Linked DNA regions of Drosophila melanogaster. The protein of the gene in region 2 purifies or fractionates together with the protein of the main gene of each other region. This does not show direct contact. Each region holds a gene or a part of one and is shown on either strand. Other genes may lie near its edges. The genes, in order: CG13484 and ldbr.

What was found.
Region 1: the proteins of ldbr (region 2) and CG13484 purify together in Drosophila melanogaster (affinity purification with mass spectrometry, with the first as the bait; one large-scale study listed by BioGRID). This does not show direct contact.

Annotation. Positions count from the first base shown.
Region 1 is NT_037436.4:14,051,636-14,055,103, forward strand, and holds CG13484 (uncharacterized protein), read right to left. Parts: upstream 1,445-3,468; 5' UTR 1,362-1,444; coding exon 906-1,361; 3' UTR 793-905; downstream 1-792. Other genes in the region: CG6833 (uncharacterized protein), read left to right, coding at 1-573; Frl (Formin-like), read left to right, coding at 2,433-2,708.
Region 2 is NT_037436.4:8,120,037-8,124,361, forward strand, and holds ldbr (lariat debranching enzyme), read left to right. Parts: upstream 1-1,790; 5' UTR 1,791-1,882; coding exon 1,883-2,079; intron 2,080-2,134; coding exon 2,135-3,542; 3' UTR 3,543-3,579; downstream 3,580-4,325. Other genes in the region: msk (moleskin), read left to right, coding at 1-186, 242-714, 779-975; CG7550 (uncharacterized protein), read right to left, coding at 3,701-4,325. UniProt on the Drosophila melanogaster protein: Cleaves the 2'-5' phosphodiester linkage at the branch point of lariat intron pre-mRNAs after splicing and converts them into linear molecules that are subsequently degraded. It thereby facilitates ribonucleotide turnover.

The DNA.
Region 1 (3,468 bases), 5.9 Mb from region 2:
AGCAAATCGGCACGCATGCGCATGAAAAAGAAGGCACACCGCAATCGCATTTTGGCCATGGACTGCGAGATGGTGGGCGTGGGACACAACACACGGGACGACATGCTGGCACGCGTGTCCATCGTGAATCGCATGGGACACGTGCTGCTGGACAAGTATGTGAAGCCGCGAAAGGAGGTCACCGACTACCGCACCAGCGTGTCCGGCATTCGGCCGCAGGACATCGCTAACGGTGAGGACTTTGCCGCCGTGCAAAACGAAGTGATGAAGCTGATACATGGCCGCATTCTGGTGGGACACGGCCTGCGCAACGATCTTGCCGTACTGGGCATCCGCCATCCGTTCCATGACATTCGTGATACGTCGCATTATAAGCCGCTGTGCAAACTCATCTCTAATACCCACACGCCCAGCTTAAAACGCCTGACAAAGGCCGTTCTGGGTCAGGAGATCCAAACGGGCGAGCATAATTCCGTGGAGGATGCACGTGCCGCCATGGGTATCTACAATCGCGTTGCCGTCGACTGGGAGAAGTATCTGGAGAAGAAGCGGCATCAACAGCAGCACTATTAGCAGCTCACTCGGGGAGCCCCATTGCACTGAGGGGTGTTCCATTACGGTAGTCTTAAATTTTTAAGTATACACACGGGTTTCATTCACGTGAAACTGTTGCTTAAATGTATAAAATGTTACAACCTTAGCCATAGTTCTTTCTTGAAGGCATCGGAGCGGTTTTCAGCACGTAATGTGCCACTCAAAAGCAGGCTCGGATCTCATGATGAAACCATTTTTATGTTTACACATTCTTTTGTTTAATATCGGAAAGCTAAAATTAAAATTCTTTCTTTGCTTTGGGGAAATTATCCTACAGGGCTTAACTAGCTCTTAGTGTTGTATTCTACATTTTAGGAAGCCGCCACCTCTTTCGGTGAAGTTCGGCTAGTACTGGGTCCGTGGATGGCCTCGTGCCGTTCCATTAGCTCCCGCCAAGGATCCTCCAGCATGGAGGGATGAAAGTACTGGCCGAAGGAGCTGCCGCTCTGGTTTTGTTCCCTGTTCTGGTGGCTCCTCGGATGATCCCAGTTCTGTTGGTTCCTGCGATTGAAGCTGCCGCCGCGTCCGAAATTCCTGCCCTGACCGTAGGGCCGATGGCGCTGCGGCTCCTGTGGGGATTTGTTCTGGTAGAAATGAGGAACATTTTGCTGGCCCTGTTTGTCCTCGTAGAAGCCAACGTTTGGATTTTGTGGCTTCTGCTGGCCACCGAATTGCTGCGCTCTGTAATCCGCGGACTGCGATGGGTACTGGCCGCCTTGTGGGCAGTAGGGCGGCAGGTTGTTATAGTTCTTGCGAGGGGTGCTCATGATTGCAGTCGTTAAAGCTTATTTAAGCCAATAATGGCTTATTTCCTTGGATCCGAAATGTAAAACAAATGTTTTTTTATTTTAAGTGCGACCGTTGGCAATTACCACAAAAATGCATATTAATTAAATCAACTGGCTTAAAACTTTGCTAAGCGCAGTTTTCGGCACATTTAGGGTGTTTTCCCGCCAGTCTTTGGTTTCCGTGCGCAGACCCAGTTCGGTCACACTGTCCCGAATATTCGTGTAGCGCGGTTGTCGTGCGGTCGGTCGGCAAAATAAAGTGCATTTAACTGCAGTTGCTCTCGGTTCCCACACTTATCGCCCACAGACCGAGTCTAATGCGGTGTGTAAGGCAAATTGCAAGCAATTCGCACGTCCCTCGCTCGGAAAAACCTGCAAACAAAGCACAAGAGGCGTCGCCTGCCGCAGGAGCCTTTCATCGAAATCTGGTCCTTTGTCTGTGTTTGTGTGCCTGCATCCGTGTCTTGCTGTAGGTGTGTGTGTGTGTGAGTGCTAGTGGCTGTGTGCCTGTGTGAGTGCCGCCGTTGCACCACCAGCAACAACAACAGCAACAACAGTAGCAACAAATTGTGTTTTTGCTTACATTGTCAGAAAGAAGTAAATTAAATTATCAAAATTTTGGAACACAGCACTTTTTACACTTACTTTCAAAACAAAAAAAAAAAATAAATAAATTAAACAAAAAACAAAAAAGGCAACCAAAAATAAGAAAACACACGCCCGGAAAATAGTCACTTTCGATTGGCCAGTTGTTCTGAGCGTTCGATAGCAGAGAAACAGGCAGCAGCCGCTTTGGATATCTTCAACGGAATCAAAGAGCAACTTTCAAGTTGCCCGGAACGCACGCGTGCCCTTTGCCGGACTGTATGGGGTACCCTCTCGCTGTCCCTTAGCACTGCGCTCCAAGCGGCGACCATCGAGGACGCCATCGGCGGCGGAGGATCCGGATCCCGGGGATTACAGGATCCAGGGGGAGGAGGCGGCGGAGGAGGAGGAGGAGGCGGCTCCGTCTCCGGCTCGGTTTCGGGCTCTGGTCGCTTTGCCACCATAATGGGCGCCGTCAAATCGCGAACCATCACCAGCGCTGATGTGGACGCCGATGAGCAGCTGCAGCATCCCCATTCGCATGCGCACCATCACTCGATGCGCAATGGCCACCAGCACAACGGTTCCATCTCTAGCGGCACGCTGCAGAAACAGGATCTGCGCTACGACATCGGCTGCAGTTCCCAGTACCAACATGTCAGGCAGCCGAGCCTGCGGAGCCGGAGCCAGCAACCCATGCCCACCACAGATGAGCTGGACCGACGATTCGCCAAAGTGCTGGTAAGTTAATCCGAATACCATGACAAAAAAAAAACTTAGGTATTAAAATATGGCTTAAAGAACAATTTTATACTTTCATTAAATTCATTATAATTTGCTAAATTTTAGATATACAAATTTATTTATTTATTTTTACCTATTTTACGCTCCATGTACCATTCAAATCCTAAATGACAGGAAAGTCTCAAAGAAATATATTTCAAATATACATTTATACTTCAAAGATTTAAAAAATATAATTCCTTTCTGCCAAGTTTAAAAATAACGCCTTGTAGAATTAATTAACTAGCAATCCCTTTCCAAAAAGCATTGCATAGTTTTTGGCAAATAAAATTCCTTTCATTTATTAGCTTACAATATGTTTCATACATATATTTTGTATAACATACGATTTTAATATACATTTCTGTTTATGAACGAGTAAGCTATTTTGGGTGATCAGCTTGGTATCAAGAAATAAATTTAAATAAATAAATGGAAATGCGTAAATGGTTCTAGAATACAAATCTATCTGGAAAAATCTTTTTCACGCTGTTAAGCTTTAATAGTCGAATCGAATGTTTAGAAACAAATACACCCCCTCTTCTGAATCGGTGATATTTTTTAATACACTAGAAGAAATGTTTGTTTATGTTCAAAAATCCATTTGAAAAATTGAGTTTGCTTGGCGAATGTAGTAGCTGGTATATAGAAAGAAGCTTAAGGATTGGCTTCCTGCCCCAGCCCGTTTTTTTCCGCCCTCGCATTTGTTGCATGTGAT
Region 2 (4,325 bases):
CCGGTTAACACGTGAAGTTCAATCCTCAGAGCTGCGCACTATGTGCCTGCAAGTGGTAATCGCGGCACTCTACTATAATCCCCAGTTGCTGCTGTCCATTCTGGACAAAATGTCCCAGCAAAACAACGACTCTATCAGCGCGCACTTTATCAAGCAGTGGCTTCACGACACGGACTGTTTCCTAGGGTAAGAATGGACATGCTTTTTAATGATCTAGATAGTTTATTGTTACGTTTTCCAGCATCCACGATCGCAAACTTTGCGTCCTGGGTCTGTGCACCCTCATCTCGCTGGGCGAAGCCAAGCCCCAGGTTCTGAGCGAAGTGGCTGGAAAGATTGTGCCCGCACTTATTTTGCTTTTCGATGGTCTAAAACGCGCCTACGAGTCTCGTGCTCAGGAGGAAGAGGAAGATGAGGAGGAGGAGGACGGTGACGACTGTGAGGAGGCTCTGTCCAGTGACGAGGATGACATGGACGAAATGGCACCGGACTATCTGGATAAATTGGCCGAATTTGCCAAAACCAAGGGCAATGAGTCGGGCTTCGAAGTGAAAGCCGAAATCAAGGACGACGATGCTGACTCGGACGGTGACGCCGAGGAGTCTGTGGGTGATCTGAACGAGACTGGACTGGAGTCGTTTACCACGCCCATCGACGATGAGGAGAACGAAAGCGCCATCGATGAGTACTGGACGTTTAAGGAAGTTATTACTGGTAAGTTGTGCTGAATTTTGTACACCATTGGAAAACTAACTAATAACCTAATCTTCGCCATCAGCACTTTCTGCACAAGACCAAGCCTGGTATGCGCTGTTGACCTCCAACCTCACACCTGAGCAAGCCAAGGCGCTGCAAGAGGTGGTGGTGACGGCTGACCAACGCAAAGCCGCCAAGGAATCGAAGCTGATCGAGAAGCAAGGTGGCTTCGCCTTTCCGCAGACTGCCGTGCCCACGTCGTTTAAGTTCGGCTCCTAAGAAACTGAATTGACCAGATCACCAGACACTTGGTTCGATTTCTGACTTGATTGTTTCTCATATTCTTTCCAAAAATAACAAAAACATCAAACAAAATACATCTGGCATGCTGATGATGGCTTTGAAGGCATTCTCTTGGTTTTCGTACACTCCGTGTACCCATGTATGCTGCGACAATCGGTCGATTAATCAGATTAAAAAATCGATCGGTCGAGCGGCGACGAGACCGCACTATATTTATTGTAGATTTATATTTTATTTCCTATTTTGTGGCCAGGGCGGCCAACTAAATTATGATAACTTAAGTCCATTGTAAATCTTTGTATGTAAACGAAACGAAACGAAACGAAAAACAAACACGTCAGGACGAGAAGGTCTCATTAAATGAGATTGTGCCCACCAGCACGCCCCCGTAGAACTCCAAAAAAAAGTTGGCATCTAGGTCAGAGAATGAGAATTCAACGCAGAGCATTTCACATACATTTTCTTTATACACACATACACGTATATTCTGTACTAAATGAAGCGATATTTTTGAAAAATAAAAAAAAAAAATTTTTAACGTTTGAACTGGAGAAATCTTTTTCTTATTTGTGTACCTTTTTGTGAGGTATTTAAACCGTTCAGGGAACGAATTTTATAAGTACATCTAATATATATAATTATATTTAATAATGCTAAGTGCTGAAAGACTTTGTTTCCGGAAGATTTCAGCAGTTTAAATATTGGCGGTCATTAAGTAGAGTTATCGATAAGAGCGTCCATCCTGTCGTTCCCCAAAGACGTTTTCTCACACTGAATTGCCGATCGATAAGCGATATCAGAACGCGTTATTTGTTTGGACAACCGGTTGCATTTGTTTACAACCAAGTTTTATTTATAAAGTAGTAACTTACCTTTATTAACCATGAAAATAGCTGTCGAAGGATGTGCACATGGCGAGCTGGAACGAATATACGACACCATAGAGGGCATCGAAAAGGTTGGCGGCACCAAGATCGACTTGTTATTGTGCTGTGGCGATTTTCAGTCCACCCGGAATCTGGAGGATTTGCAGACGATGGCTGTACCAAAGAAGTACCTGGATATGTGCTCCTTTTACAAGTGAGTAGAGTTTCGACAGCTTGTGGATCAGGAGGTAATCCATTTATTTTTAAAGATACTACAGTGGCGAGCTGGTAGCACCAGTGCTGACCATATTCATTGGCGGCAACCATGAGGCCTCCAATTACCTGCAGGAGCTCCCATACGGCGGTTGGGTGGCTCCAAATATTTACTACCTTGGTTATGCCGGCGTCGTCAATGTAAACGGTGTTCGGATAGCTGGAATAAGCGGAATCTTCAAGGGTCACGACTTTTTGCGCGGCCATCACGAATTCCCTCCGTATACCGATTCCACGTGTCGCAGTGTCTACCATGTGCGGCAGCTAGAAGTCTTTCGGCTGAAACAAATTTCCGGGCGAGTTGATATTTTCCTGTCCCACGACTGGCCCACCGGCATCTATGAATACGGAAACAAGGCGCAACTGCTCCGCAAGAAACCATTTTTTGCTGCAGACATGGAAAGCGGGAAGCTGGGTAGCCAGCCACTGGAGGAGTTACTGAAAGCGGTCCAACCGGCCTACTGGTTTGCTGCCCATTTGCATTGCAAGTTTGCCGCTTTGGTGCCGCACAATCACAGCCAGAAGCTAGGAGATGCTGAATCTTCCTCTTCCAGCAGCAGCAGTGAAGATGAAGACGAGGAAAGGGAGAAGGTAAAGAAAGCTGCTCCTGTACCTCCACCATCCAAATCTGTTCCCGTGACCAAGTTTCTGGCTCTCGACAAATGCCTGCCACGTCGTGCTTTCCTGCAAGTGGTAGAGGTACCCAGTGACCCCATCGAAGGCACTCCCCGCCTGGAATACGACGCAGAGTGGCTAGCCATCTTGCACAGTACAAATCACTTGATTTCAGTGAAGGAGAATTATTATTACCTGCCCGGAAAAAAGGCGGGAGAGTTTACAGAGCGATCAAACTTTACCCCCACTGAAGAAGAACTAGAAGCAGTGACCGCAAAGTTTCAGAAACTTCAAGTCCCCGAGAACTTTGAGCGCACAGTGCCAGCTTTCGATCCCGCGGAGCAGTCTGATTATAAGCACATGTTTGTGGATCAACCCAAGGTTCAACTAAACCCCCAGAGCAATACGTTCTGTGCCACTCTGGGTATAGACGATCCGCTGTGCTTAGTTTTGTTGGCGAATGGCCTAGATCTGCCTGCGGTGGGAGCTACCGAATGCAAGGATAGGGAAACAAAAAGTTCTAAGCTGCAGGCGGTGGAAGAAGACGTGGCTGAACCATTGGTTACGCCAACTAAAAGGAAACTTAACTTATCCCTGCCAGCACCTACAACTGCAGCAGCTGATACCACCGATGAAAACGTGATAGACCTGCCCGAGGAGGAAGCTGAAGAAGCAATTATAGCAACGGAAACGCCTCATGTAGAGGAACCTGCATCAGTGCCCGCTAGTCCCAATGTGAAAAAACTTAAGCGACGCAATCAGAACATTTACCAAGCGCAAGAAGATTAAACCCAAACAAATTCCGTGAAAGCGGAGCGATTTATACAAAAAAAGGAGGCAATTTTATTTAAATAACACAGAAGATACTTGGCTGATACGATCAGCCAACGGTTGATTATGGGCAAATAAATAGGAGGGTGTTAGCTGCTGGGAAGCGAGATAACGACTCACTGTGTCCCGCTGGCATTATCGGCATAGACCTCGTCGGCGCACTGAAAAGCGGCCTGCATCACCGATTCGGGCGTGTCCACAACATCGCAATAGTATGTATCCGGTGATGGGATGCAGTGCAGCTGCACCTGGCTGCCCTCTGCCGTGGCGCGATAGAAGCGACACTGTCGCGGTCCATATGTTGGCATATCCGCATCGTATGGCGGACTAAGAATGTCGAAGAAAGCGGCTACGCCGCTACCAATTTGGGCAATCTGGTGGTAATTTCTCTTTCTAGGAGTCAATGTGGCACACGGACTAGCCGGCGTGACCAATTTGGGTTCCTCGACATTCACCTTCACCACTGTTTGATGGGGGTCATAGGTGAGCGGCTCATCCGGGCCTAACTGGTGCGAAAAGCTGTCCACCATTAGCTGACCCCAGATGCAGCGCAGCAGACCGAACATCATGGGGTGATCGTGCAAGGGAATAGTGCTCGCTCCGCGCACTATAAACAGGCTCATGGAGAAGCGATCATCCTCGAATATATGCATGTAGCTGCAGGGTGCCCGATGGCTTCCCACGTTGCGAAAGAGCTCCTCGCGGAGGTGCAGATCCCGGTAGGTCAGCTCATCCGTCAAT